Anolis sagrei: one gene and its partner. The protein of the gene in region 2 purifies or fractionates together with the protein of the main gene of each other region. This does not show direct contact. Links are inferred from orthologs where the notes say so. Each region holds a gene or a part of one and is shown on either strand. Other genes may lie near its edges. The genes, in order: COPRS and RIOK1.

Evidence for each region.
Region 1: the proteins of RIOK1 (region 2) and COPRS purify together in Homo sapiens (affinity purification with mass spectrometry; 3 studies listed by BioGRID and IntAct, with this or other methods). This does not show direct contact. The link is inferred for Anolis sagrei from reciprocal best matches to the Homo sapiens genes RIOK1 and COPRS.

The regions. Positions count from the first base shown.
Region 1 is NC_090022.1:144,739,291-144,755,398, forward strand, and holds the start of COPRS (coordinator of PRMT5 and differentiation stimulator), read right to left. Parts: upstream 7,915-16,108; 5' UTR 7,839-7,914; coding exon 7,800-7,838; intron 3,157-7,799; coding exon 3,084-3,156; intron 934-3,083; coding exon 700-933; intron 1-699. Other genes in the region: UTP6 (U3 small nucleolar RNA-associated protein 6 homolog), read right to left, coding at 12,910-13,067, 14,450-14,522. UniProt on the Homo sapiens protein: Histone-binding protein required for histone H4 methyltransferase activity of PRMT5.
Region 2 is NC_090024.1:85,104,836-85,120,779, reverse strand, and holds the start of RIOK1 (serine/threonine-protein kinase RIO1), read right to left. Parts: upstream 6,548-15,944; 5' UTR 6,366-6,547; intron 3,555-6,365; 5' UTR 3,510-3,554; coding exon 3,439-3,509; intron 282-3,438; coding exon 86-281; intron 1-85. UniProt on the Homo sapiens protein: Involved in the final steps of cytoplasmic maturation of the 40S ribosomal subunit. Involved in processing of 18S-E pre-rRNA to the mature 18S rRNA. Required for the recycling of NOB1 and PNO1 from the late 40S precursor.

The DNA of each region.
Region 1 (16,108 bases), on a different chromosome or scaffold from region 2:
CAATTCAGCATCCCATATTGCTTCAATTCTTTTTTGATGTACAAAATTTAAAGGGAGATAGCTGTGAAAGTCTGTTGCAATGCAAACAACTAAGAGTTTTGTGGCACCTTAAAACAGTTTGCAGTCCATGAACGCTTGTATGTCAAATAAAACTCATTGGTCTTTAAAGTAGCACAAACTCTTGATGTTGTAATTTTTAATACTGGTTTTTAAAAGGACCACAATATCACTTGTACTATTAGGTTTTTCTACTGTATAAACTTCTAGATATACCAGAAATACTCTAGTATTAATGGAGTTTGGCGTCACTTTAAATTGTCATGGCTCAATGCTCTGTAATCCTGGGAGTTGTAGTTTGGAGGCACCAGCACTTTTTGTCATATAAAGCAAAAGATCTTATAAAACTACAACTCCCATAGCCTTGATTAGTGATGGTTGAAGTGGTGTCAAACAGCATTAATTCTACAGTGAAGATGCACCTTATATCAGAGATCGGAAACCAACAGAAGCAATAGTGGTAATTTCCTTTTTTGGTGAATTAAAAGGTCAACGTTAAGATTTTTCTCAAATACAGACACCTTGCAGAAATACTTGCACTGGTTTCAAGGATGAAATCCCCTTTTCACAATGCACTCTACCCAGTCACATGACTTTCTATCATTATTTGTTTTTGTTTTTTTAATTCCAGGATCTACCTACCGTAAGGATTGTTTCCGTTTTCAGTGTCTGCCAACTCTGAATCCCAGTCCTCTTTCTCATGCTGGAGTGTAACTTTCATCTCAGGAGAAGTTGTACTGGTGATGGGCCCACTGCTATCTTCACCACCCGATTCCCAACACTCTTCACTGTCTGTCTCCAAATCTTCAAAGGATTCTGCATCACTATAAGTGTCTGTTGCCTTCTCTCCTACCCTTCCCATCAGACCTAGAAACACTGAAAGAACATTTCCTTTAAATTCTAGGGGAGGTGAATTCCTATTGTTATCAAACAAGCCATGAAACTACAACAGAGGCCAGGCTACCTCTATGCAGATACCCTCACTGGGTGACTTTGCAGCTTCATGGCTACTCAATGCTAATCAAGCTTGCTAATTGCATCGTTCACACTTGCTTTAAACAGACACGGATTCTTTCTCCCACCCTGGACATTCCACAGAATACACTCCACTTGCTTCACAGAACTTCTGAAGATGCCAGCAGCAGATGCAGGTGGAACTTTAGGGAACACAGTCATACAGTCTGAAAAATTCACAGCAACCCAGTGATTCCAGCCATGAAACACTTCAACAACACATGTTCATATATGTTTCATTGTTACATAAGAGTTATTAAAGCTGTTGTGATTACTTTATTTTGCAAATGAACACACAAAACACAAGTTATAACAAATCAGTGGTCAAGTCCACTGTCAGGTCTTGATAGTGGACTTGACCAAGCACGTATTGACAAGTGAGAGTGTCATCCATTGTCAGGAAATCCAGCATGCACTAGCAGAAATATGTGTGCAATGACTTGTTTACAACACAACACTATAAATAGGTGACATGTATGAAATCTAATTTAGTTTCTAAATTGTGTGAAAAGCAGTTAATAGTGCAAGTGCAGTACCGGGAAGTGTTTTAAAAAATTAATTAATGCTGACAAAAATAGAGATGAACATTAATACATTGATAGCAGCACACCAAGTTCATTCTTCTCATTTAGGGTTATTTTAATGATATTTGTAATTTTTATTTTAATATTACCCTTCATTATCTGAATATTAATATTATCATGTGCTATATTTAGTCTTTACCCACAATAACATCTTTCTTTACCATGTTGTAGGATGTAGGTAGAAACACAGCTACATAAAAGGATGTTATCATGGCATCTTTCTGTTTATTCACTTTAAACAAGGTTGATTTGAAGGGGGATGCCGAGTAATTTTTTTCTGTAAAGGGGGCAGTAGGCCAAATGATTTTGGGAATTTCTGATTTCAGAGCTTCAACAACCACAATCTCTTACCATTTTCCTATCCCCAGGACTTAACACATATAGCAAGGAGCCCCCGGTGGTGCAGTGGGTTAAACCCCTGTGTTGGCAGGACTGAAGCCCAATCACCTCCCTAAGCTTTAAGCATTGCTAAGCGATTCGAATCCGGGGAGAGTGAGTTGAGCTCCCTCTGTCAGCTCCAGCTCCCCATTTGGGGACATGAGAGAAGTCTCCCACAAGGATGGTAAAACATCAAAACATTTGGGCGTCCCCTGGGCAACGTCCTTGCAGACGGCCAATCGCTCACACCAGAAGCGACTTGCAGTTTCTCAAGTTGCTCCTAATATGAAAAAAAACCACATATAGCTCCTTAATTTAGTAAGGCTTGCTTTCTACACCCACCATGTGGACTGCTGATTTATCCCGGTATGCCATATATAGCTACATCCTGAACAACAAAAAGCAGGTGCTACATTCAGGCAGTGTACCAGCTGTGCTCTGATCTTAAACCCCATCACAGGGGCCTTTAAGTATCAATATATCTGCTTCTGAGAGCTGCCCCTCTTACACCATAATGATCAAAAGAACACATTTACTTTCGTGTGTAGAAGACAACTAGAAAACCAGTATTCACAAATTTTCTGTTCTTTAAATCATCACTGAAGACTCCAGATATATTAAATGCATTATGCTTTTTCTGGCTATAAAAATTAATAAAAAGGTAAAGGTTTTCCCCTAACATTAAGTCCAGCTGTGTCCAACTCTGGGGGTTGGTGGTCATCTCCATTTCTAAGCCAAAGAGCAGGTGTTGTCCATAGACACCTCCAAGGTCATGTGGCTGGCATGACTGCATGGAGCGCCGTAAATTTAATATTACAACATAAAGAACCATTTTACTTTAAACAAGGCCAATTGTCCACCTAAACAAACACACTCTCTTGGCTCTTCTCTTTCCCAGCCTTGCTATCCAAGGCCTATTTCAGGGTCTGTACTTGGAAGAGAAACATACAGTGCTATACATGTTTCTTCCAAGAAAATGGAAATATCTTGTGCAGTAAACTGAAGTTGTACCTCTCACATCATTCCCCACCACCAACCCCTTTGAAATACCTTTCCTAGGCTTCCAGCCGAAAATCTTCGCCACTTCTATTTCCTTCTGAACAGCAAAAGCAGATCCATCAACCTTTATTTGCAGAACAGAAATGCTGGTGTAAGTCAAATTATTATATAATGTAAGAATTCTGATAGGTACTAAATAATCCTATACTTGTTTTACCTCTGCAAAATTGTTTATTATGTTCTATATTTTATATTTCTGTTATCAAAATATGTGTTACCATTCTGTGCATCTATTCTATGTGAATATGAAACATTATAACATGAAACGTTGTTAGTTGCTGATTATTTGCAACATCTGCTTAGAAATCCTCTTGTAGGCCACAGAAAACCTATCCTAACATCTATCACAGGCAATTGTCTTTTTTCTTTGCCAGATATACATTTTTATATTTATTCCACAATCTGAAGGAATCTGATCAAACTAAGGTGTGACCAAATGCATTTGTCTGTGCACATAAGCACACAACACTGTCCTTAAATTGTCCAAATTTAACTGTCCAGTTCACAATGATAACACTTTTCAATACACTGGAAAAGTTTCTTAACTCTAGCTCAGCATTTCTCAACCAGGGGTCTGGACCCCTCGGGGGGGGGGGGGTTGTAAGGGGGTGTCAGAGGGGTTGTCAAAGACCACCAGAAAACACAGTATTTTCTGTTGGTCATAAGGGTTCTGTGTAGGAAGTTTGGCCCAATTCTGTTGTTGGTGGGGTTCAGAATGCTCTTTGATTGTAGGTGAGCCATAAATCCCAGCAACTACAACTCCCAAATGTCAAGGTCTACTGTTTCAAACTCCATCACTGTTCACTTCTAGGCATACTGAGTACTCATGCCAAGTTTTATCCATATTGTTTGAATCCACACTGCTCTCTGAATGTAGGTGAACTACAACTAAAAAACTCAAGGTCAACATCCACCAAACACTTCCAGTGTTTTCTGTTGGCCATGGGTGTTCTGTGTGACAAGTTTAGTTCAATTCCATCGTTGGTGGAGTTCAGAATGCTCTTTGCTTGTAGGTGAACTATAAATCCCAACAACTACAACTTCCAAATGACAAAATCAATCCCTCCCCTTCACCAACCCCACCAGTATTCAAATTTGGGTGTATCGGGTATTTATGCCAAATTTAGTCCAATGAATGAAAATACATCCTGCATATCTGATTTTACATTACGATTCATAACAGTAGCAAAATTACTGTTATGAAGTAGTAACGAAAATAATTTTATAGTTGGGGTCATCACATGAGAAACTGTCTTAAGGGGTTGCGGCATTAGGAAGGTTGAGAAACACTGCTCCAGTTTCTTCATATTATATAAATATTTTAATTAGGATTTCCACAGACAGAAAATCTTATTTCTTGGGCCTAAATCCTGCTAGGATTTAGGATTAATCCCACTGAATCAATGGAACTTATGTATTGACTTACCAAGTTTCCATTGATTTAGTGCAGTGGTTTCCAACCTTTGGGCCTCCAAAGGTTGGACTTTAACTCCCAGAAATCCCAGCCTGCTTACCAGCTGTTAGGAAATGTGGGAACTGAAGTCAAAAACACCTGGAGGCCCAAAGGTTGGAAACCACTGATTTAGTGAGTCCATGTTATGATGCTAACATGATCAAAATGCTAATCACCACCTATGGAGATCCCATCTCATATATTCACACTTTTCCAAGTGTAGTGTTGCTACCAAGATCTACAGCTGTCTCTGTTTATATGGATCTTATTTTAGGCTCTTCATTCAACTTTACTTTTACACTGGAGCAAGCACAGTATAGCCATGCTTATCTTAAAAAACAAATATAATTTTATTGAATGTTACTTAAGATGTTACATAGACGTCACCTTTACTCTCCACTACACAAACATTTGTAAACTTCTGGGTTTTTCTTCCTTTCCTAATATGCTGAAACACTATCCTAATGCAGTGTTTTTCTCTCTAGAAATCAGATCCTTGTCTTAATCCTAAACATTATAATCTTGCATAATTCAAAAGTCCCACCTACTACCATTATCTTATTGTCACCATCCTAACTCTCCAAAGCCATGACTCAATATTCAAATACAGTCATTCTTTCATATATGTGCTTTTGACTTTAGAAGATTTGTTTATTCATGGATTGATTTAAATTTTCTCTCCGGGATTCTCTGAGCCCTCTAATGTGTCAAGGATAAACTTCCTCCAATCAAGCAGGAGAATCTTGAGATTTCCAGACATAACATCTTTCTAGGAATCTCAAGTTCCTTCCATTAACTTCTATGATGACCCTCCAGTAGAAACTGACCATAGTGTCATGCTGAAAGACCTACAAATTCTTAGACAGGAAAAAATAGTAATTTATGTGTGTTTTTCCTTTCATATAGTTGCTCTACTCTGGTCCCAGGACTCACAATATCATTTTAGTATTGTTATCAATTGTTATTTGATACTGGAACGGTCTGGACCATGCTTTTGGATCATGTGATTTAATGTTCATATTAATATGTTTTTAATTCCTTGTTTAAATATAATTACGTTTTATGATTTAATTGATAGCTTTATGTTACTGTTGTTTATGTTAGGTTTTTATGTTTTGTAAGGCATTAAATTATGCCGTGAATATGTTGGAAACTGCTTTTGAGTTCCCCCTGGGGTGAGAAAAGCAGTATATAAACAAAGTCAATAAATAAATAGTATGGCCGTGTTCTAGACGCATTCTCTCCTGACGTTTCACCTGCATCTATGGCAGGCATCCTCAGAGATTGTGAGGTCACAACCTCTGAGGATGCCTGCCATAGATGCAGGTGAAATGTCAGGAGAGAATGCCTCCAGGACATGGCCATACAGTCCAAAAAACCTACAACAATCCATTGGAGGAACTCCCTGGCACAGGACCTGGAGAAGTAGGAAGAAGACGTCAGAATTCAAAAGACCACAGTGATGTTGTTTCTTCAACCTCTGAGGATGCCTGCCATAGATGCAGGCAAAATGTCAGGAGAGAATGCTTCTAGAACATGGCTATATAGTGCAAAAAACTTACAACAACCCAGTGGTTCCAGCCATGGAAGCCTTCAACAATAAATAAAAATATCTTAATTCAATTACACCTCTTCATAAGAGTTTTCCACCTCACTTCTATATCAAAGTAAACCTTTGAGACAATAAATGTTTCTCCTAAAAACAAGCAAGGAGTATTTAGAAAGCTGTTCTGTCAACTTATGACAACCATATACATTTTACAGGGTTTCCTAGGTCATGGAAGACTCAGAGGCAGTTTTCCTAGTTCCTTCCTCTAAAACAGGGGTCCTCAAACTAAGGCCCAAGGGCCGGATACGGCCCTCCAAGGTCATTTACCCGGCCCTCGCTCAGGGCAAACCTAACTCTGAAACGACTTGAAAGCACACAACAACAACAATCCTATCTCATCAGCCAAAAACAGGTCCCATAGAAATACTAATAAGTTTATATTTGTTAATATTGTTCTTAATTTTAATTATTGTATTGTTCAAGGAGCTCCACTGGCTGCCGTTTATTTTCTGAACCCAATTTAACATGCAGGTGCTTACCTACAAAGCCCTGAACGGTTTGGGGCCATCCTATCTGCGTGACCGCATTTCCGTTTACAAACCCACGCGTTCACTGCGTTCATCTGGAGAGGCCCTGCTAGTGATCCCGCCTGTGTCGCAAGTGCGTTTGGTGGGGACACGACAGTGCCTTTTCTGTGGTGGCCCCCCGACTCTGGAACACCCTCCCCAAAGATCTTAGACAGGCCCCTACATTGGCGGTCTTTAGAAAGAACTTGAAGACCTGGCTGTTCCGATGTGCCTTCCCAAAATAGGAAATCTCCAATACCAAGTCCCAGAAGCACTTTATTAGAACTAAGATTGCCGCACACTGCACTTACCCTATAATCCTTATATACCACCTGTCACATCAGCACTTTTAATTCTGTACCCATTACTCTGGCCCGGCCCAGTTTTATTGTGTTTTGGTGTATTGTTTATTGTTTAATATTGCTTTAATTGTTTTTAATTTGCTTTAGGTTTTGTATTGTTATGCTGTGTATCGAGGCCTTGGCCTTTGTAAAGTTAATAATAAAGTTAATAATAAATAAAGTTAATAATAAATAATAATAAAGTGTTTTTTGCACTACAAATAAGATCTGTGCAGTGTGCATAGGAATTCATTCATGTTTTTTTTCTAATTATAATCCGGCCCTCCAACAGTTTGAGGGACTGTGACCTGGCCCTCTGTTTAAAAAGTTTGTGGACCCCTGCTCTAAAATATAGCATAAAAGATAAACATGTGCACTTTGTGTTTTATGAGGGAGGTAATAAAGGCAGCCTATTCTGAAGTGTAACTTCATTCCAGAACTGCCGTGGCTGAATGCCTGGGACCCTGGGATTTATAGTTCCACAAGGCCTTCTGTGCCTCGCCAGTGGCCCTACTACAAGGGCAACCTCCAGGATTCCACACCTCTGGGCAGTTAAAGGGAAGTCAAACTATACTAACTCTACAGCAGGCATGGGCAAACTAGGGCCCTCCAGGCTGAGGGGGAAAGGGCTGTTAGGAATTGTGGGAGTTGAAGTACAAAACACCTGGAGGGCCCAAATTTGCCCATGCCTGCTCCACAGTGTGTTAAAGCCTCAGTTTTGGGCTTCTCTCCTCTCCCTCAGGAGAGGCCTGGAGGTCCCTCACTCTCTCTCCTTCCACCCAGGGCCTCTTTCCTCACCCTTTGCTCCAGGGGACCTCGCTGCTCGGCCCCCTCCATCCTGCTGCTCAAACTCTGCCGCACAAACACACACACACTTCCTTCCCAACACAAGACGACGACCTATTTATCTGAGGGGAAGAGCAACTCCCTCAACAAAGGGGGGGGGGTCACGTGGTCCGCTCTATCAGCACGCGGAAAGGTGAGGGAGGGGATTGACTGGAGGGAACCACCGAATAGAGAAGGAGCGCCGCGCGCCGTTGGGATCCTCGCGCATGCGCCTTGCCTCCACTTCCCTCAGGCCTCTTCTCTTGCCTTACCCACAGGTGTTTTCGCCTTCATCTCCCAGAAATCCTCACAGCTGGTAAACTGGCTGGGATTTCTGGGAGTTGTAGGCCAAAACACCTGAGGACCCACAGGTTGAGAACAACTTGTTCAAGGGAAGGAGGCTGTCTTTGCCATCCTCTCAGGCCCCATCCACACTGCCTTATCATTCAGTTTCTGAATCCACATGATCTGCTTTGAATTCAAGTATATTATTATAATATTTATTTATATCCCTCTTTTTCTCTCCATACAGAGGCTCAAAGCGGCTCACAACTAAAAGCAGTTCAGTCCAACTTCAAATATACAAATATTAAAGCAGTATGAAACAACATTCATATTCAAACAATCCAGGTTATAAACCATAAAAGCACATAAAAACGCATCACAAAAGCACAGCACCCGCTGAATTGAAGGTTTTAGCCTGCTGTCTTAAGGACTGTAGGGAAGTGGCCATTCTGGCTTCCCTGGGAATAATAATAATAATAATAATAATAACCACATTTCCGTATATGAACCCACACGATCTCTTCGTTCATCTGGAGAGGCCCTGCTCACGATCCCACCTGCATCGCAAGCGCAATTGGTGGGAATGAGGGACAGGGCCTTCTTGGTGGTGGCCCCACAACTCTGGAACTCCCTCCCCAAGGACATCAGGCATGCCCCAACATTGGCAGTCTTCAGGAGGAGCTTGAAAACATTGATATTCCAGTGTGCCTTCCCAGATTAAGGAATCCCAAGCAATATGTCCCAAATGCACTTTACGAGAGAGTTAGAATTGTCTGCACACCCACTTACCCCCCAAAATATCCATCCTTTTTTACCTTGTCATGCCCAGCATTTTAAAAAAAATTTAACCTTTACATTAGCCCTGCCAGGTTTTTAAATTGCGTCGTGATATTGTGTTATTGTTTTTGCTTTGCTATGAGTTATTTATTGCTGTATTGTATTGTTGTGGTTGTGTCTTTTTCTGATGTATTTTGGGCTCAGCCTCTTGTAAGCCGCACCGAGTCCTGCGGGAGATGGTAGTGGGGTATAAATAAAGGTTTATTATTATTCCCTGGGAAAAAGAAGGGAGTTCCAAAGTCGAGGGGCAGCGGCCACTGAGAAGGAAGGCCTGTTCTTTCATTCCCACCAAACAAGCTCGAAATGGAGGTGAGACACAGGTAAGAGCCTCTCCTGAAGACCTCAGGGCCCGGGCAGGTTCCTACAAGGGGATGCAGTGGACCAAATTGCCTGGACCTGAACCGTCTAGGCCAGTGATGAGCAACCTTTTTTGCTGAGTGTGTCAAAATTTGCCCCCAAAAAATGTATGTGCTGTCACACCCAGATCCTATAAAATTAAAACTAAGATGTGCTTCTCTCTTTGTCTGGGCGGACCGCAGGGGTCTTTCTTTAGAAGCTCAAAAATTCTCAGCAACTGAGGCCATTTCAGGTTTGGAACATCAAAACAGAATATTTATTTCTCAAAGTCCTTGCAGACTTGGCACAGCTGGTCAAAGTTACAAACAAAACAGTCAATTAGTGAAACCATAGAGATGTTCTTTCTTTCTTTTTTCCTCTAGTCGCTGAGTTGCCTTCCTCCAAATGGTAGAAAAAATCCTGAGATCTTTTTACCCCAACCCTGAGCTACTATCTTTTAGAAAGTGTAGGCCTTCCCTATTCCAGCCCAAGGTTAGTTTTGGAGATGAAGCAAACAGTGTTCAATAACTATCTCAATAGTCCTTTATACTAAATAGCTTGAAATCTCAATTAAGACTCAATTGTCTTTTTTAATAACTCAATTAAGACTCAATTCTTTCCTTTACTCAATTGTACTTACAATGATTTTTTTCAGAGCTCTCTGACTGGTCTTACAGCACATCTGAGGCTTTTCTCTAAAACTGAAGGAGGCAGGGGAGGTTCCAAAATGGAGATCTCAAGCCCAGGAAAAAAAGGCGGACTCCTAACCCAAAGAGATACTTTCTACACCAATAGCTGCAAAAAGGCCTGCAGGCTGGCTTTCCAGCCTCTGATGCTGTTAACTTTCAGGGTGCAGCTGAAATTGTAGCAACCGTGGGGAAATGCAAAAGAATGCTAACCCATGCAGCTAAAAGGCAATGTAAACCATGCTCCAAGAAGACGGAACAACGTAGCTTGGGTGGGGTGTCACTTTGAGGGGGGAAAAACTTAATTTTGTGATATTTATAGTTTAAATAATAAAAAGTATAATTATAATATACAATTTTTAATAAACCAAAAACTAATTGTTTAACTTACCTGCTTAGTGTAAATTAAGATGGCTGCCACTGTTCCTAATGGTGGGAAATGGCACCCATAGCACAGACCCTTACCTCCCAGCTTCCCCCTCACTTATTTCTGGCTTCCCAGAACAGTAGATTGGATGATGGTTGCTGTGGTTATGTGGTTGCTAGTAATGGCGATCACAGGGCCCCCAAAGATGCATCCCCGCGGCATTCTGCTACGCCGGCTGGAAGTGAGGTCAAATATCCCCTAACGGCCTAACCAGAAGTCCCAGAACTAAACGCTTTGTGGCAGAGTGCTGTTATTTTGGCCTACAGACCTCCGGCACAGTGTGTCTACACTACAGCAAATGTTTCATCCTTGGCTACTGCACTCGTCCATGCAGGAGCCAAGGATGAAACGTCCTTGGCATGTGACTCCGTGCTTCTCTATATGCGGCTGCGTGTCATCAGAAATGGTTACGCATTTCAGTACTGGCACGCATGTCATAGGTTCGCCATCACGGGTCTAGGCTTTAAAGGTCATAACCAGCACTTTGAATTGTGCTTGGAAACAGACTGGCTGCCAGTGGAGATGATGCAACGCTGGTTGTCCGCTCCCTCCAGCCAGCTCCAGTGAGCAACCTGGCTGCAGCTCTTTGGACCAGCTGAAGTTTCCGAGCACTCTTCAGAGGCAGCCCCACATAGAATACATTACAGTAATCCAGGTAGGATGTAACTAAGGCATGTACCACCATGGCCAGATCTGGCTTCCCAAGGAACAGGCACAGTTGGCACACCATTTTTAATTGTGCAAAAGCCCTCCTGGTTGCTGCCAACACCTGGGACTCCAGGTTCAGCTCCAAGTCCAAGATGACCCCCAAACTGTAGACGTGTGTCTTTAGGAGTGTGTCCTCAGGATAGGGAGGACCCCTATTCCCTGATTTGCCTTCCCACAGACCAGGAGTACCTCTGTCTTGTCTGAATTAAACTTCAGTTTGTTTCCCCTCATTCAGGCCATTACGGATGACAGACACAAGTTTAAGGTTATGACAGCTTCCTTAGCTTTAGGTGGAAAGGAGTAGTAGAGTTGGGTGTCATCTGCATATAGATGACACCAAGCTCCAAAACTCCAGATGACCTCTCCCAGCAGTTTCATATATATGTTGAACAGCATGGGGGACAAAACAGTACCCCGAGGAACCCCACAGGACATGTATTTTTTTTTTTTTACACAAATAATGAGGACGGAGCTGTCTCGTGATCAGATGTTGACTGAAATGCCTGAAAAGGACAGCATCCAATATCTGACCTGCAGTGTTTGTAGTTCTGTGAGTCTTAACAAATAAGATCATATGGCTGTATTTTGCATCAAATAATCATTCCTTGACTCACAAATGCTTGTGTTGACAAGATTTACCACTTTTTCCATAAAATGCAATGAAATTGAAGATCAACATTTCAGGCCCCCTGGATAATATTATTAGGGCCTGCTTGATTGAAAACATACTAATTACTGTATCATTTTCTTTGTAATTTAAAAATAAATCTGTTCCAAATAGATATCATCCCTTCAGCGAAACCTGTGAATGTGTAACAACCTTGTTGTGGACTGTATTTTAAGTGAATTGATCTAACACACCAACATTTTGAGAATTTGATTTAATTGTCTTGCAAAACTATGTTTAGTGAGGAATTGTGGGACTTGAAGTCCAAAACATCTGGAGGGCCTAAGTTTGCCCATGCCTGGTCTAGTGCCTAAAATCTTGAGTCTTGTTGGTCCGCAGCCACAAATGGGACTTAGGAGTCAGGGTCCATGGTGAAACTCTGCTTTAATGTATTTCCACACACTATTTATCATGTCAGGAATAGCTATGAGGAATCAAGTTTTTCATATTGCATCTTCAGGATAGTGATGATTTTTTCCCCTCCTGCACCAGCCTCATTGCCAAATGATATAATTAGTGGGGGGGGGGGGGGGGCAGATCCCATTGGTCTCACAAAGTTAATGAGAAAATGCAACGTTCACTGTTACACCACCACCACAAGATCTTGCCCACTTTTGGGTAGTAGACTGATCTGTTTTGTAGCTGGCAAGAAAGTGTTCTGGAAAGATCTGCTTCAAGTGGTCTTTACTCCTTCCCCTCTCTTGTTGGTTCCACCTGTCCAATTGAGTTTCTGGGACATACTGAGCCAACTTAAGCAGGGCATAACAATAAAAGTAGAAAAAATATAGACAGGTAGACTATCAGTAACATTCTTTTGGCTCAACACAGTGGATGTTGCACAGTAATAAATGTAATCTTTTTTCCTAGCCAGGGTAAAAATGAAAAACTTGGAAATGTTTATTTTGTGTGCTCACCCCAACAGCACCAATCTTGACAAACTATGTTCCTCATCCCAGCTTTTTGCCCTCACAGAAATCTATGAAAAAGCCATCAGTATATACTGGTTTTTTTTATCCAGGACAGAACTAAATATGTATTTGCCTTTGGAAGAATGAAGCATACAAAGTGTTTAGGGAGGGAAAGGAATGTTTTATATTGATCTGTAGTTCTTCTGATCCACATCAGTCACAACATTGCTCACAGGTGTCCAATTTGCAGCAAAGTGTACTTTGAAATAAAAGTGTCCACTTGTTCTCCCTGCAAAGCTTTCATTGCTCTCCAGTGAATATTGCCACAATTCTCTGGCTTGCCTTCAGGATGGTTCAGCTCTTCCCTGATGTAATCCAGCCAAAGATCTTCAAATGAAAAGAAAACCCAGTTAAGATTGTAAGAAGAAAAGAGAAACATGAAAGAAAAACAACTCACTGTAGGTCAAAAAAATTAACTATACATAGTCCTATGTATCTGTGTGGATACCCATGGATTTGTCAACTTTATAGTATTTTGGTGCACTTCAGCATAAGGACAAAGAACTCAATCCTCCCTACTGGTATAGTGTCCATGGCTACTCCTTCAGAAGACTGGGTAATCTGAAGTTGAGAGGGGTAAAGAACTTGTGGTAGTAATAATAGCTTGTGAATCTCCATTTCTATCTCATACTTCTCTCTAATAACTAAGGCAAGACTAGAAGAAACATCCTGCTATCCCCTATCTCATCTTTCAGCAAAAATGTTCTCAAAAAGTAAAACGTAGGAAACAAGTACTTAGCAGGAGACTCCTACATTCCCCTGCACTGAGGGAAAAAAACAGCCAGTCACTTTGAGGAATTAAGATCAGTTTCCATTGCCCTGCTCATATGGGGACTTGTAAATGAAGGGATAGGAGGATAGACTGGATGAGTGGCTTTTTGAGGATGAGTCACAACTTAACAACTAGCTGTGCTCCGGAAATCCTGATTCTAAGCTAAATATATCCTACTACTGTCAAAGAAATTTGGAGAAAGGGTAGAAGACTTTGGATTAAAAAAGAAAGTAAATTTATTGGACATTGTGCAGACTAAATATCCTTTTTATCAGAAATGTTTGGGACCAAAAGTGTTTTGGATTTTTTTTTTTAGGTCTCTCTCTCTCTCTCTCTCTATATATATATATATATATGCATGAGATAACATTTTGGATTCTGAAATTCTAGATAAGGAAAGCTCCACCCATATTAAGATTACAGTATATGCTGACAGAATCAGTCACTGGTAATGAACTACCCTTCCCTAAATCCACCACAAAAAACAAGAGATATCCGTTACTAAGGAAACATTCCTTCCTTCATTGTTTGCAAAGCAAATGGGTTTCACTTCCAAGGGAAATTTAATTAAGAGGGATGGCTAAATGGGCTGCTTATGAAACTAATTCATGATGTTGATGATTAAACATGCTGCCCAAGCATATTATGTTCCACCCATACAGGTCTCAAGATAGCTTACAACAAGGGGCATTAAAATAAACTACTAATCATATACAGAAAGAAAGGATAAGACTAGCCGTTTAACAAGATGTAATTAATGCAGAGATGTTACTAATTTAACCAGACTTTCCTCGCCTAATACCTACCAGAGTTTTGTGGACTACAGCCCTTGACCACTGGTCATGCAAGGGGAAATTGAAATCCCAAATCTCTGGCAGGGCACTAGGCTGGCAGAGACTAGATTCAAGACTTGCAGGAAAACAGAAAGCCTTCTTACCAGGTTCTGTGCTGCCAAACTCCCTCAAGGCTCGTTCATAATATTCTCGGATATTGAACATTTTTCCAGATTCCTTTAAAGCAAAAAAGTGGGGGGGAAATGACATCAAAACACTGACCTTACCATTTTGTGGCAGTTAAATACAGTAATAACAACTTTATTTTTATACCTTGCCTCAATCTCCCCAAAGGGACTCGGGGCAGCTTACATGAGGCCAAGCCCAATCAACAGTTAAAACGTAGCACATTAGAATGCACAACATCAATTTAAAACAACATAAAACAAAATTATAATAAAATATAAAACAAGCAAAAAAACACCCAACAACATTAGCATAATTCAAGCCTCTATATGGGTGGGCGAACTGGTGCACAACAATTCAGGGGATAGGGCCAATGAGAAAAGTGGTTAAGTCATATAGCAGCGTTAAGGATAAGAGCAATATAAGAAGGATCATTCTGATTTTGGGTAAAACAGTAGTAAAGTGCATGGTAAAAAATGTTGGGTCCTAACTGGGGCCAATTGTCGAGGGAATTGTTTAGTCAAACACACAGCAGAACATCTGTGTCTTCAGATCTTTGCGGAAAGTGGATAGGGAGGGGTTAGTCTGATCTCCCTGGGAAGAGAATTCCAGAGCCGGGGGTGACAACCAAGAAGATTGCAATATTAATACTGATGTGAGCATTTTCAATTACCCCTGTACTTTTATTGCCGCTTGATTTTACTGGAGTAGTTCCTATAAGGGACCGGCAAGAAGAGAGGAAGCACTGGTGAGCCTGAGTATGAGTGTTTCCCGCAACAGCATGGCTCTTTCTGTGTCTCACCCACTCACTCACAGTCCTGTGTGCTTTCCCACATTTTGGTATGACTCCTGCCAATCAACTCAGCTGCTAAGGAGGATTCTATTTCCTTCTATTCTGTAACACCCACTGAAGTTCCCTTTGAGCAACAAACAAGGAATACACAATGCAAAAATTAAAAGCTATAGATGAAAAAGATAACACCCTTGTTCATAAGTCCACTAAAAGAAAAATATTTTCAAGTGATAGGGAAATGCCACCTGAGAAGAAAGCAACTAAAGTGTTCTAAAGTAGGTGTTTTCAGTCAGTTGACGCTACTTCTGAAAAAAGTTCTTTCACAGAAACTCCTGTTAATTGTCACTCAGATGGGAAGGAACATATGAAAAGACCTGTTACCTTAGGACCATAGAGTACCATAAAGGATGTGTCATCTCCTAAAGTTTCAAGAGGTGTAAAGTGTTAAACTAGAGGGGCAACTTGCAGCATTCCAGATTTCACTAGATAATAAATAGCACAATAAAATACTGGTTCTCCTACGGCCAGTGTATCCATATACAGGTTGAGTAACACCCATCCCAGGTGCTTGAGATCAAAGGTGTTTTGGTCTTCAGGTTTTTAAATTTTGAATAACAATGAGATAAAGATGGAACCCGTCCAAAAATGAAATTATTTTAATATTTAAAAAAACACCTTATACACATAGCCATTAATATACAACATTTTAATACTGTTGAGCATAAAATAACGTTTGTATACATTAAACCATGAGAAAGCAAAGATATCACTATCTCAGTAATCCATGTGGACAATTTTGGAGTGTTTTGAATTTTTGAGTTCTGGATAAGAGATGTTCAACCGG
Region 2 (15,944 bases):
TTATGCAAATGAAACTACTGATTTATTAAATGTAATATATTGCTATAACAGTTCAAAACACAATAAACCAATAAACACAACACACCTGTGGGTTTCTTCCTCCAGAGAGTGGGTTTCGCTTGGTGACCTTTCCAGCATCGTCATCCCAGTCCCAATCATCTTCTTCGCCTTCACTGCTCTCATAAAATTCTTCCACATCTGCTTCCTCAATTGAACGCCACTGCTCTGTTTTTACTACCACCTTCTCTTCCAGAGCTGCTTTAATATCCTGTTCAGGTCCACTGTTTTTTAAACATACACACACACACTTAATCATATAATGCAATAGACAAGAATGAACAACTTTAAAAACAATATATTCATTTTAAAAACCCGAAAAGAAAACCAACAACCCTGTATTTAATAAAATTTTGAAAATTGTATGAGATGAGGTTTTTTTTAATGTGGAGGGCCCACTTCCACCACATTCCCCTTACAGCAAGGACTCCCCACTGTCTCCAATAAGTGAGTTGTTCTTTCCCATGTTCAGACATTGCTTCCAGAAGACAGTTTCTGCAAATGTGAGTTGAAAGTGCTTTGTTTCCCATTCCTTTCTCCCCAAAATTGGAAAAAGCAAAGGCGACATCTGAAAGAATAAACTGGCAACATTTCATTCCTCCTCTTATCTTTCCCATGTGAGGAGGAAGGAGTGAAGTCTGCTCTCCAGCTGAAGCAGTAGGTGGAAAACCTCCCATCTGTTTCTTTGTCCAGGAAGCTACACAGCCTGAAGGTTGGCATATAAATCTGCTTCTCCCCCTTCCTGAAAGCATTCTCTCTGCCTTTATATTAAAAACAGAAATTTTGTAAAAACTGGAAGGTTAAACGTTTCCTAATACTTTTTTTCGTATCAGGAGCGACTTCAGAAATTCCAAGTCACTTATGGTGTAAGAGAATCAGATGTCTGCAGGGACACTGTCCAGGGGACACCTGGATGTTTTACCATCCTATAGGATGCTTCTCTCGTGTCCCCATATGGGAAGCTGGAGCTGACAGATGGGAGCTCACCTCACTCCCCAGATTCAAGCTGCCGATCTTTCGGTCAGCAGTCTTGCTAGCACAAGGGTTTAACCAATTGTGCCACTGGGGGCTCCTATGAAACAATACTGGAAAGCATGCATTTAATAATGTACTTCTGTTAACCAACACAGGTCCCATCTACACTGACCATTTAATACAGTTTGAAAAGTGGTTTTGCTGTGCATATGAAATCCTGGAACCACCTTGAAATCCAGATGGTGATGACACAATCCAGAGTATTGATGCATATTAAGGGCTGTCTTCATGCACTTGTGTGAGTGAGTTGTCTGGCCACCACAATTTGAAGCTACTTCAAACTGCCTCAGATCTACTCAACATTTCCCAAGTCAATCTAAGGCTTAATACAGGAGTGGGAAGAATATGAACCTGCCGAAGTTGTTGATCTGCAATTGCTATTCCAACAACATTGTAAACCCAGAGCTTAACAGCAATCCTGAATCACATTTGGCAGTAGGAGGGGACTACAGCAGCTTTCTTCTGCAGCATTACACAAGCGATAGGAGTCTTTTGCCTTTGGGGAGACAGGGCCTTCTCGGTGGTGGCTCCTCGGCTGTGGAACACCCTTCCCGTGGACATCAGACTGGCTCCCTCCCTGATGATATTCCGCAGGAAATTAAAGACCTGGCTGTTCAAGAAGGCGTTCGATCAAGAAGTGCAATAATTGGTAATGACGACAGGAATGGAACAACGGAAAATGATACTGGATTGTGGTTCAAACGATGAGACAACGTGAATGGCTGTTTGTATTATTGATATTGCTGATGTTTTTGATAATGATGTTTTTGGTTACTGCTAGATTGATATTTTAGATAGTGTCCTGAATTTTGAACCTTGTTTTTCTATCTTGTACACCGCTGTGAGTCGCCCCCGGGCTGAGAACAACGGTATATAAGCAAAGTAAATAAATACATAAATAAATAGTGTTCATAACAGCTGTCAACATAGTGTGGCCACCAAGGCCTACCAAGTCTTCTCAGCACTCATGGAACCTGAGCTGAGAAACCATTCCAGGGAAACAAAATATGGGAGAAGGAGTTATCCAGGAAAAAGTGAAAGCAGCTGTGATAACAAGGCAGCATCAACAGGACTGCCTATTTCTTGAAATTTCCAGGGCAGCCCTTCCATAGCGTCTTCAAGCCAGGCATTCAAGAAATATGGAGCTAGAGCAATATATGGCCACCAATTCCTCCTGCTGCCACTGTTGTTCCACAGGGGCAAGGATGTCTTGGACCTTGAGCAAAGGGAATAGCAAACACTATCTATGGTCTGTTCCATGAGTGGTTTGCCACTACTGGAACCTGAGCCTGTTTTTTAATAGAAGGATCCTTTGCATTATTTTAGTGAACACATTTATTGGTTTATGGTTTTCTCCTAATAAATACAGATGTGTAAGGAACTCAGCAGAGAGAACACAAAGCCAAAGTTTAACCATCTTCAAGAATTAAACCTTCACCCTTAATTCATACATTTTCCTCCATCTAAAGGTAGTTCAAGAATTTCTTACAACAGGAGCATACTGTTGATGAAACCAAGCTGCTCGACCAGAGCTTTCCAAACATTTCATGTTGGTGGCACACTTTTTAGACATGCATCATTTTGTGAAACAATCATACAGTTTTCCTATCAAGCCAGAGGTTAAACTAATCCTTTAGTAGAGATAGGGATACATACATATAGTATTAACCAAATATATGGGTACACAACATATCTCATGAAAAAATTCATTATATATATGTGTGTGTGTGTGTGTGTGTGTGTGTAATATGTGATTTATTGCTTATTTTTCATAAACTTTACATGACACACCTACACACTGCTACCATCAAACCATCATGTTGTGACACACAGTTTGAAAAGCATTGTGCTGTTTAAACTGTATCTACAAGTTCAGGTTAAGAATGATGGAATAAACCTTTGGAAAGGATACTGTTGCTCTCTATGGCACGAGCACACATTTTTCTCCCTATATTCCTCAAACATTTGTTCATCTATCCAAACAACAATATTGACTCCATTTATCCAAATAACAATATAGAAACTGGAGTATGATGATAGGTGACGAGAGCTGTTATTTGAAATGCAACACAAGCAGGCAGCTGTAGCCTACCAGACATTTTTGCACTACAAATAATAATAATAACAACAACAACTTTATTTTTGTACCCTCCTCCATCTCCCCGAAGGGACTTGGGGCGGCTCATATGTAGACAAGCCCAAGGTTCAACATAGTTAAAATATAACAACAAAATTCATAAAATCCCATAATTACTCAACAACGGCCGCCCAGTGAAGGTTAATAAAAGTTGGAGTTCAACCACATTTGGATTATAGAACCTGAAAACCATAGAACTTGTCAATTACCTGTCCAAAGAGTCTGCATCATCAAATTGTCCTGGAACTATCTGGCTCATAATTTCCTCCCTGTAATCCATTTTGGCTAGTCACCAATGTATACAATCTGTGCAGTCTTTTGCTTCCTACAAAATAAATATATGCAGATGTTGTAAGAGGAAAGTATAGTATACACAATATATTACAGGTGAACTGTATTGGGGCATTATAAACAGTGCAAATTATTATTATTATACTATGCCATAAATCATCCTGGCTGGGAACTACTCACAGATGCAGTACTCTATCTCTACATAGTCTGTAAAACATTATCTTCTGAAGATCAACTACTATCATGCATTGAAAAAGAAGACATATGTGCTACAAACTGAACAGGAATTATATGCTTGGCCCTGAAGTATTGGACTGAATTCCCATCAGCCCAGCCCAACATGGCCAATGGAAAAGGAAAAGTAAAGCTGCCTTCTCTGACTTGGACCATGTTGTGTTTTCTGTTTGACAAAAAGACACAGACACTTTGGATATGTAAGATCACTCCTTTGAATATTTTACTCATAAATAATCTATTTACATATCAAATTTTGCCAGCATCACAGAGATAAGAGAATAGAGACTATTCCTCCTAATGCATCAAATAAGTTTACTAGGGCTGTAACTGCAGGAGACTTTTTAAAAATGTGAGCAGCCAAATATGCCATGAAAAATGTTGACATCTTTTTTTCTCAATATTTTAATTAAAAATTTTGACAACACACACACACACACACACACACACAAAGGAACAATACTTATGAATACATAAACATAGACAATGAACATACATCTGTACTTTATAACTCTAAATCTATCAATATACATACATCGGTTTTAAAAATGGATTTCCAGCTTCTCTTTTGTTGGTTTCACTTTATATCCAGAAAATTGTTTACTTCTGCTTGTTTTAACATTTATAGGTGAATATCCAAACATTCTATGAATCCAAACCTGTACATAAAGTCTGTCCTTATCCCTCAGATATATATTGACAAAATAGTTTCCATTTTTCTAAGAATGTTCAGTGACTTATTCTTCAACAACATTGTTAATTTCTCCATTTCTATTAATTCCCACATCTTCACTGTTCAGTCTTCTATAGTTGGTGTTTCCGTCTTTTCCCAGAATGGCAACAATTAGTATTTTTATCCACCACACCACAGACTTGGCCCATTAGAAACAATCTGGTTAATTTAATGGGGAAATACAATCCAATGTTTTAAAAGCAGAACAGAACAGAACAGAAAGTTTAGGTGGTGGGAATGAGAGAGAGGGCCTTCTCCATTATTGCTTCCCATCTCTGGAACTCCCCCCCCCCCCAAGAGGTAACAACAGTCCCCACCCTCCTCTCCTTTAAGAAACTTCTAAAAATGCACCTATGCACTTTAGTGTATGGAGAGGAGGAGGACTAAGACACTTTACTTGGAATGCTGGCTAGTCCCACTTGTACTATATGACTGCCACGTTACATTTCAAATCAACACTGATGCCAACAATTTTTAATGTAACTGTATTTTAAATTGCTTTTGGGGTTATTTGTTGTAATGTTTACTTATGTTTTAGTTGCCTATGTCTTATTGGATTGTTTTGTTTTATTTTTCATCACAATCTTTAAAGTTTTAAATTTTGTGTGTTATTTTCTACTTGTGAGTTTATTGATTGTATTGTTTGTTTATTACTTGTTGTTTTATTATTGTTGTTGCTTTGATGTGTTTTTGGACTTGGCCTCATGTAAGCTGCTCCGAGGGTATAAATAAAGTTTTATTATTATTATGCTTAATTGTTTGTTATAAGCTCATTGTTGTGACTTTTGCTTTATTGCAGGCTTCCCCAAACTACGGCCCTCCGGATGTTTGGGCCTTCAACTCCCAAAATTCCTGACAATTGAACAAGGTCATTAGGGCTTCTGGGAGTTGGAGGCCCAAACAGCTGGAGGGCCGTGGTTTGAGGATGCCGGCTTTATTGTGTATTATTTACATTTGTACTCACTTGAGGTATTGAAAGCTTGCCTTTTTGTATGTGTAAATCGCCCTGAGTCCCTTCGGGGAGAGAGAGAGAGCAGTCTAAAAATAAAGTTTTATTATTATTATTATTGACACAAAACCACAGCATGTTACAGCAAATGAGATATATATGCTGGATTTTGTATCACAAATTCACAAGTCGAACACTTCCCAAGCGTCAAGGACTGTGTGATGTATTTTCAAATAATGCGTGCAGATCCAAGGTGGCCTTTAGCAGCTGACAGATCGTGATTTTGTCAATATTTATTGTTTTCAAATGCAGCTGAGATCTTTTGGCATGGCACCCAGTGCGCCAATCACCACTGGGACCACCTGTATTGGTTTATTCCAGAGACTTTGCAATTCGATTTTGAGGTCTTGATAGCAGCTGAGTTTTTATTATTATTATTTAATCGTTTTTTAATTTTTGTATTTGCTTTGCTGTAAACTGATCAAAGTGTGTGACTGTTAGCCGCCTTGAATAGAAATAAAGTAAAAAAAAACCCCAATAATAATGAATGTATTAGATGAGTTAGGTATCCATTATGGCTAGGAGATTGTGGAATTTGTTACTGCTAACATATGCAGATCTTAGGAGTAACATGAGAAGATCTGCATATATTATTGTATGTTCATTTATTTAAGAGAATATCTACATTATCTTCATAAGCAAAATAAAGGTCCTCCACCTTCTTCACACGCAAAATGAAAACAAGCATTTAAAAAGAAAGCAATGTTACACAGGAAATGAATAGTACCAAAAAGAAACACCAATCTAAAATACTTTCCATTCCAGCAAAGCAAAAAAACAAGCCATCAAAACAATTTCTTCAAAGGCACCAAAAGTACATCTACAGAAGAAAACAGTGTGATTTAGAGTAAAAACAGAAAAATTCAAACCTAGTGACACTATTCCCACCAAGCATCCCTTGCCCACCTCCAGCACCACAGAGAAAGAGAAGATTTCCAAGCTTTCCACCCACGTGGTCCGAATCCCACTTCTTCCGGCACAATACGTCAGAAGCTACGTTCTACGGATCCTTCCGAGGGCCATCCGCAGCCATTTCTCGTAACAGCGGCCGGCTCCTATTCCCGGAGGAACGACAAACTGTGTCCAAAGCACGACTAATAGCCAGCCCAAAGTAATCGCCAATCGATGAGGCTTATACCTCTGCAGACGACTGCTTGGGTCTGTGTTCTCATTCTCTCTTGTATGTATGTAGGAATTCTATCTCCCGCTGATGGATTTGATTGGACCATACAGGAATGACGCAATGAGCCCGCCGTCTGCAAAGATGACACGTTGAAAGCGTGGCGTAGCGGTTAAAGCTCAGGCCTGTGATTCAAAAGAACCGGGTTCGAATCTGCCCTCTGCCATAGAAAACCCATTGGGCAACCTTGGGCAAGTCCCTCTCAAGATTTTTTTTCCAAGAAAACCCCATGATGGTTCATGGTTTAGTGTTGCCTTGCGTGAGGCCCCTTCTACACTGCCATATAAGATCCAAATTATCTGCTTTGAACTGAATTATAGGACAGTGTAGACGCATATAATGCAGTTCAGTGCAGCTAAATGTCATAGCATTGAGTGTTGTCAAACTGCATTCATTCTACATGGGCTTGTCCCCATGTAAGCTGCCCAAGTCCCTTCAGGGAGATAGAGGCAGATACAAAATTAAAGTTACTGTTATTATTATTATTATTATTATTATTATTATTATTACACGGTATTCTCATTTCACCCCCCTGTTGTATCAGCTGCCGATCCAGTTCCGAACACAATTCGAAGTGCTGGTTTTGACCTTTTTTTAAATTAATTTTTATTGATTTATCACATTTATTACACACTATTGCATTTTGTACATCAGCCTCTTTAACATGTTGTTTTGTTGTTTTGCTTTGACATTTCCCCCCCTTTTTCTCTTTTTTTCCCCTTTTTTCCACCACAGTGCTCCCCTCCACCTGTCTCAAGCCACCATTCTTACATTTCATCTGTCCAAAATTTCATTTCTTCTTGTGACGGTAATTTTCCTTCCTTATTTTTTAATCCATTTACCACAAATCTTCCCCATACAGCATCAAAATCGCTTTGTTTCCATGTACCTTTTTTAACCTTTAATATACATGTAAATTTATCATTTATTGCTATTTTCCATGCTTCCTTATTGTTGTTCATTCGTTCAGTCGTCTCCGACTCTTCGTGACCTCATGGACCAGCCCACGCCAGAGCTCCCTGTCGGCCGTTACCACCCCCAGCTCCCTCAAGGTCAGCCCAGTCACTTCAAGGATGCCATCCATCCATCTTGCCCTTGGTCAGCCCCTCTTCCTTTTGCCTTCCACTTTCCCCAGCATAATTGTCTTCTCTAGGCTTTCCTGTCTCCTCATGATGTGACCAAAGTACTTCAACTTTGTCTCTAGTATCTTTCCCTCCAGTGAGCAGTGGGGCTTTATTTCCTGGAGGATGGACTGGTTGGATCTTCTCGCAGTCCAAGGCACTCTCAGAACTTTCCTCCAACACCACAGCTCAAAAGCATCGATCTTCCTTCGCTCAGCCTTCCCTAAGGTCCAGCTCTCACATCCGTAGGTGACTACAGGGAATACCATGACTTTGACTAGGCGGATCTTTGTTGCCAGTCTGATGTCTCTACTCTTTACTATTTTATCGAGATTGGACATTGCTCTCCTCCCAAGAAGTAAGCGTCTTCTGATTTCCTGGCCACAGTCTGCATCTGCAGTAATCTTTGCCCCTAGAAATACAAAGTCTGTCACGGCCTCCACGGTTTCTCCCTCTATTTTCCAGTTGTCAATCATTCTTGTTGCCATAATCTTGGTTTTTTTGACGTTTAGCTGCAACCCGGCTTTTGCGCTTTCTTCTTTCACCTTGATTAGAAGGCTCCTCAGCTCCTCCTCGCTTTCGGCCATCAGAGTGGTGTCATCTGCATATCTGAGGTTGTTAATGTTTCTTCCAGCAATTTTCACCCCAGCTTTGCATTCATCCAGCCCCGCACATTGCATGATGTGTTCTGCATACAAGTTAAAAAGGTTGGGTGAGAGGATGCAGCCTTGCCGTACGCCTTTCCCAATCTTGAACCAGTCTGTTGTTCCGTGGTCAGTTCTGACTGTTGCTACTTGGTCCTTGTACAGATTCCTCAGGAGAGAGACAAGGTGGCTTGGTATGCCCATCCCACTAAGAACTTGCCACAATTTATTATGATCCACACAGTCAAAGGCTTTAGAATAGTCAATGAAGCAGAAGTAGATGTTTTTCTGAAACTCCCTGCCTTTCTCCATTATCCAGCGGATATTGGCAATTTGGTCTCTCGTTCCTCTGCCTTTTCTAAACCCATCTTGAACATCTGGCAACTCTCGCTCCATGTATTGCTGGAGTCTTCCTTGCAGGATCTTGAGCATTACCTTACTGGCATGAGAAATAAGGGCCACTGTACGGAAGTTTGAGCAGTCTTTCGCATTTCCCTTTTTTGGTATGGGGATATAAGTTGACTTTTTCCAGTCTGATGGCCATTCTTGTGTTTTCCATATTTGCTGGCAAATGGCATGCATCACCTTGACAGCATAATCTTTTAAGATTTTAAACAGTTCAGCTGGGATCCCGTCGTCTCCTGCTGCCTTGTTGTTAGCAATGCTTCTTAAGGCCCATTCAACCTCACTCCTCAGGATGTCTGGTTCTAATTCATTCACCACACCATCAAAACTATCCTCAATATTATTATCCTTCCTATACAGATCTTCTGTATAGTCTCGCCACCTTCTCTTGATCTCTTCAGCTTCTGTTAGGTCCCTGCCATCTTTGTTTCTTATCATACCAATTTTTGCCTGAAATTTACCTCCAATGTTTCTAATTTTCTGGAAGAGGTCTCTTGTCCTTCCTATTCTGTTGTCTTCTTCCACTTCCATGCATTGCTTATTTAAAAATAGTTCCTTATCTCTTCTGGCTAACCTCTGGAATTGTGCATTTAACTGGGCATATCTCCCCTTATCCCTGTTTCCTTATACCACTCCTCTATTTGTATATACAAATAGAGGAGTGCTGGTTTTGACCTATAAAACCCTATATGGCTCTGGTCCAGCGTTTCTGTCCAAACGTATCTCCTACGTCCCACCTCGGAGCTTAAGATCCTCAGGGGAGGCCCTGCTCTCGGCCCCGCTGTTGTCTCAAACACGTTTGGTGGGGACGAGGGACAGGGCCTTCTCGGTGGTAGCCCCCCCCCCGCCTGTGAAATACACTTCCCAGGGAAATTAGATCATCATCATCCCTCCTCACCTTCAGAAAGAAGGTAAAATTGTGGTTGTGGGACCAAGCCTTCAGGCAATCAGGTTAAAGGACAATGGATATTTGGCTATGGCTTGGAAGTGGATTTGGATAAGAGAAGCAGAGTAATCATTAGTATATGGCTAGAAAAATAGCCACTAGACTGGCAATAGCTAAATGGATTGTAAGTATACTGTTTATTTTTTTTATTTTAAAGTTAATGGTTTTAATTGTTATTTTTGCTATTTGTATTTTATGAAGCGGCAGTGAATTGTTGCCAATTGTAAGCCGCCCTGAGTCCCTCTAGGGGTTGAGAAGGGCAGGGTAAAAATGTTCTAAATAAATAAATAAAATAAAATTCTGCATTGTAGTCTCCATTCTGAATGACTGATCTCAGGCCGTACCCCAATTGCAATAGCTGTTCAGCTACTTCTGCTCCTTCAACCTACTATTCTCTGTAGATCTCAGCTCTTTATATATATTTCCTCAAATTGATATTAGCCACTTTGAGTCTCTTTGACAGAGAGGAAGCAGTATACTAATACTGCAAATAAATAAATGTAATACTGCAAATAAATAAATGTAATACTGCAAATAAATAAATATATGTTTGTAGAATTGCAGCCATTGTACTGAATGACTTCTTACAAAAAAAATTGGTGTCAGAAATGACTTGAGAATCTGCAAGTCACTTCTGGTGTGAGAGAATTGCCTGTCTGCAAAGATATTGCCCAGGGGACACCCAGATGTTTGTACGTTTTACCATCCCTGTGGGAGGCTTCTCTCATGTCCCTGCACGGAGAGCTGGAGCTGACAGCGGGAGCTCATCTGCACTCTCCCCGGATTCGAACCTCTGACTTGTCGGTCTTCAGTCCTGCTGGCACAAGGGTTTAACCCATTATGCCACCAGGGCTCCTAACAATTACAATTAAACTCTTTTGGTAAGTGGTAGATAACCATTTGGCCTGTAATTGCAGGAAACATGGACTGATTTGTTAAGCAATACTCAGAATTTTCAGGAATTAATTGCCTGTCCAGACTCTAGGCACAGTTTCAGACGGAGGGGTCATAAACAAAATAATTGAAAGCAATTTTTAGACTGTATTTTAAGAGCATTTATACAAGTGACATAGACAAAAATGGTAACTAATCAATTTAATTAAAATTTAAAAATATCAGTTTCCTTACCACAATTTTTTCTGCAACCTATTTTGGTTCATGATGTACTTATATAACTATCTGCACCTGAGGACTAGGTAGCACTACAGTAATGGGTGTCTATTTAAATTTTTCATCCCATGGACAGCTCCAGTAAGATGTAGAACAGGAACATTTCAAGAAGCAAATAACCAATTATTAAATAAGGTATATACATTTTTGAAATATCACAGTGATTGTCAAACTTTGGCCATCCAGGTGTTTTGAATGTTTAACACTCAAAAGCCCCAGACAGCTTGGCTAACAGTTAGGAATTCTGGAGAACCGAAGTTTGGGAACCACTGTAATCAAGTGTGTCTACACTGTAGAATTAATGCAGTTTGAAACTACTTTAATTGCCATTGCTCAGTGCAAGTTTTAGTTTTTTAAATGTCTTTAGTTTTATATGCCCCAAAATTATATGCCTCACCAAACTTCAAATTGCATTATTCCATAGCATTGAGCCATGGCAGTTAAAGTCGTGTCAAACTGCATTAATTCTGTCATGTAGATGCACACTTAGATTAAAGTATTCTGTATATAACATATTTTTGAGATATCTTATCAGCTAGAATTATCAGTGGCACAGATACAAACACAAACATGTACCACTCCGCCTGGCACCACATCACTTCATCACTCTTCTCCTGTCAAATTTACATCTTGCTGCTACTTGCACATCACAGTTGATTTTTCTCATATTATCTGTTCCAGTCACAGACTCCTTGGCATTTCCAGTTCCTGTGTGCTAGCAGTCTTCACACACTGATATCTTCTTCACAATTATTTGGCAAAAGAATCAGCCAAGAAACACATATTGCAATTGGCAGCATGATGGGTAACTTGAAGATAGAGACCGGGCTGCTGACTATAATTTGTTTGTCAGCAAAGCAGTTACCCCTTGGCATTTGTACCCCAAAGCAGAACATGAAACAAAGGACGATGTCCCCAAATGGTTGGCTTCCCGGGAGGAACTAGGACCCCTTGGTAGCCCCTAGTTTGGCTGGTGGGGAAGGTGGTGGCGGCAGATAATGGAGGTGTCCCAAGCCAGAGGAAGAAACCCTTTCTTTTCAGAAAACTCAAGAGTTTGTCTCTCTGGGGGGACTACAAAAGGCTCTTTGGATCCTTTTGGGTTCAGCCCACAATCTTGTGGCTCTACTTTCTCTTCAAAGAGGAGGATTGGGATCAGGGACACATGTGACAACCCTGCCTGCCGGGCCCTTTCCAAGGGAAGCTCCAGGATGGTTTTCATTTGAAAAGGTTCCATTTTTGCTCCGGGTTCTAAAGCTGGAGGTGTTTACCTGGTTGCCAAGGAGACCAGGTGGTTCCAAGCAGACCAGAAGTTTCTGTGACAGTTGGTGCCACCCATTGCTTTCCTGGACTCAGTCGTGGGCAGAAAGGCTCTGTGGCAGATCCAGCTGGAGGTTGCCCCCCTGGCCTGCAGTGTGTCCCCCTCAGGATGGTCTTGGTCAGCCAGTTCAGGTAGAGAAGCCTCAATTCCCATCCACTAGAAGGAGGCAACTGAGAAGGGACCCTTTTTTTCAGCCCTGGTTCTGGTGCTGAGAGGTCCCTCAAACTTTGTCTCCCCGTTTTTTGCAAATGGTAATTCCTTTTATGCTGCATGGGCACTAAAGATGATAGGAAAATTCCTGTGGCTCCCCAGAGCTCTCTGTCATGGTCTTGGAGGAAGACTCCATGATAAATTACATTCAATTAAACTGTATGGATATAAGGTATAGGTTAGCTAACTATCTTGGATCCGTGAGAAGGTAATTTGTGTGTATTACAGGGATAAAAATGTATTTGGAACAATAACATCTGCTGTTGATATAGTGTAAAAAAAGGATTGGTAGGTTCGATGTATTTAAACCATTGGTAAGTGTTAATACTGTATTCATTGACTAGAATATTTATTGCCATGCTAGAACAGTAAGAGACATGCAGTGACATTTATTTTCAACCACATTTAGGGAGTGGCCATGACACCATTAACAAACAGGTCAATTTTGTAGACAAGGTCACAGCCAAACCAAAACTCCCTTGCATGTTTTGTGGGCTTGGACAGGGGATCAGGGTACATACAATTTTCCTTGAGAGACTGGGTTGGCACTGGTGGGCTTGGTCGGCTAGACCAGGGGTCTCCAAACTACGGCCCGTGGGCCGCATGCGGCCCGCGGAGGACATTTCTCTGGCCCGCGCGGCCTGGCCTGGCCATGCCCACCTGGCGCTGCTCCGTCAATTGCAGACACCCTCTGCTCCGGCCGCTCTGCCTGTGTGGGAGGGAGAATTTATTTATTTATTTATTTATTTGATGCACTTATTAACCGCCATTCTCAGCCCATTAGGGCGACTCATGGCGGTGTACAAATACATATAAAAGACAATTTACAAAAGAAACCAGTTACAACAACATATAGACTAAACAACAATTACAGACAACATTAAAAATCCGCTTCGTCTCTTAGTAGAATCATAACCAGTCTCATATTCCTTGTTCCATTCCGATATTCTTTACCACATTGTTGCACTTAATTAAATGCCCTCTCGAACAGCCATGTCTTAAGGCTTTTTCGGAAGGACATGAGGGAGGGCGCCTGTCTGATGTCTGCAGGGAGAGTGTTCCACAGCCGGGGGGCCACCACCGAGAAAGCCCTCTCCCTCGTCCCCGCCAGCCGTGCCTGTGAGGCAGGCGGGATCGAGAGAAGGGCCTCCCCAGACGATCTCAAGGTCCTCGTGGGCTCGTAGGCCAAGATGCGGTCCGAAAGGTATTTTGGGCCGGAACCGTTTAGGGCTTTGTAGGCCAAAACCAGCACCTTGAATTGGGTCCGGTAGCAAATCGGCAGCCAGTGGAGCTGGGACAACAAGGGCGTTGTGTGCTCCCTGCTACCCGCTCCAGTTAGTAACATGGCTGCCGCGCGCTGAACCAGCTGCAGCTTCCGGGCCGTCTTCAAGGGCAGCCCCACGTAGAGAGCGTTGCAGTAGTCAAGGCGGGATGTGACCAGAGCGTGTACCACTGTGGCCAAGTCAGACTTCCCGAGATACGGGCGCAGCTGGCGCACGAGCCTGAGCTGTGCAAATGCTCCCCTGGTCACCGCTGAAACCTGGGGATCCAGGCTCAACGATGAGTCCAGGGTCACACCCAAGCTGCGAACCTGCGCCTTCAAGGGGAGTGCGACCCCGTCCAGCACAGGCTGTAACCCTATACCCCGTTCGGCCTTGCGACTGACCAGGAGTACCTCTGTCTTGTCTGGATTTAATTTCAGTTTGTTCGCCCTCATCCAGACCGTTACAGCGGCCAGGCACCGGTTCAGGACCTCGACAGCCTCCTTAGTAGCAGGTGGGAAGGAGTGACAGAGTTGGACATCATCTGCGTACAGATGACACCGCACCCCGAAACTCCGGATGATCTCACCCAGCGGCTTCATGTAGATATTAAACAGCATGGGGGACAGTATGGAACTCTGTGGCACCCCACAAGTCAAAGGCTGTGGTGCGGAACAGGAGTCCCCCAATAACACCTTCTGGGTGCGGCCCTCCAGGAATGACTGGAGCCACTGCAAAGCAATGCCTCCAAGGCCCATTCCCGCAAGGCGCCCCAGAAGGATACCGTGGTCGACGGTATCGAAGGCCGCTGAGAGGTCCAGGAGCACCAACAGGGACACACTCCCCCTGTCTAGCTCCCGGCGCAGATCATCCACTAAGGCGACCAAGACTGTCTCGGTACCATGTCCCGGTCTGAAACCAGACTGTGCCGGATCCAGATAATCCGTGTCTCTCAAGAATACCTGGAGTTGTGAGGCCACCACGCTTTCCATGACTTTGCCCAAGAAGGGGAGATTGGAAACAGGCCGAAAGTTGTCCAATTTAGTGGGGTCCAGTGATGGTTTCTTCAACAGCGGCTTTATAATAGCCTGTTTTAGGCTCGCTGGAATCTTGCCTTCCCGAAGGGAGGCATTCACCACCACTGTTACCCACTCAGCCAATCCCCCTCTGGCCTCCCTCAGAAGCCAGGATGGGCAGGGGTCTAGGATGGACGTGGTGGGCCTCATTCCTCCAAGTATCTTGTCCACATCCTCAGGTTTCACAAACTGAAAAGAATCCATCAAAATAGGACAAGCAGGTGCTCTTGTTACATCCTCAGAGACTGCATTTAACGCGGCGTCCAGCCCAGAACGGATCAAGGCGACTTTGTCTGCAAAGAACCGAGCAAATGCTTCACAGCGCGCGACCGAATTGTCAGGGCTCCCGCCCGCAGTGGTGGGAGTTAAAAGACCTCTGACAATCCGAAACAACTCCGCCGGACGGTTCTTTGCAGACGCAATAGTGGCCGCAAAGAAGGTTTTCTTTGCGGCCTTTATTGCCGCGGCATATGCCCTAAGAAAGGACACAAACCGTGCTCGGTTTGACTCGTTCGGATCCGAACGCCACACGCTCTCTAGTTCCCTCTTCCTTCGCTTCATCACTGCCAGCTCCTCAGTAAACCAAGGGGCTGGTTTAGCTCGGCTACTTGAGAGGGGACATTCCGGAGCAATCATGTCAATAGCCCTGGCCATCTCCCCATTCCAGAGAGCAACCAAGGCTTCGACATGGTCACCTACCGAGGTGGCGGGAAAATCCCCAAGAGCCGTCAGGAATCCATTTGGATCCATCAGCCTCCTGGGGCGGACCATCTTAGTAGGTCCTCCACCTTTGCAGAGGTTAGGGGGCGCAGTGAGCCTAAATCTGACCAGGAAGTGGTCGGTCCATGGCAACGGAGAGATGGACAACTCCTCCACACCGCCACCCTGTTCCCATCCCTGGCAGAAAACCAAATCCAATGTGTATCCAGCACAGTGGGTGGGGCCAGATATTTGTTGGGACAGCCCCATGGTTGCCATGGCAGACATGAAGTCCTGAGCCGCACCTGTGAGGGCCGCCTCGGCATGGATGTTGAAGTCTCCCAGCACAAGAAGCTGTTGAGACTCCAACGCCAGGCTCGAGACCACCCCCGCTAGCTCAGGTAGGGAGACTGTAGT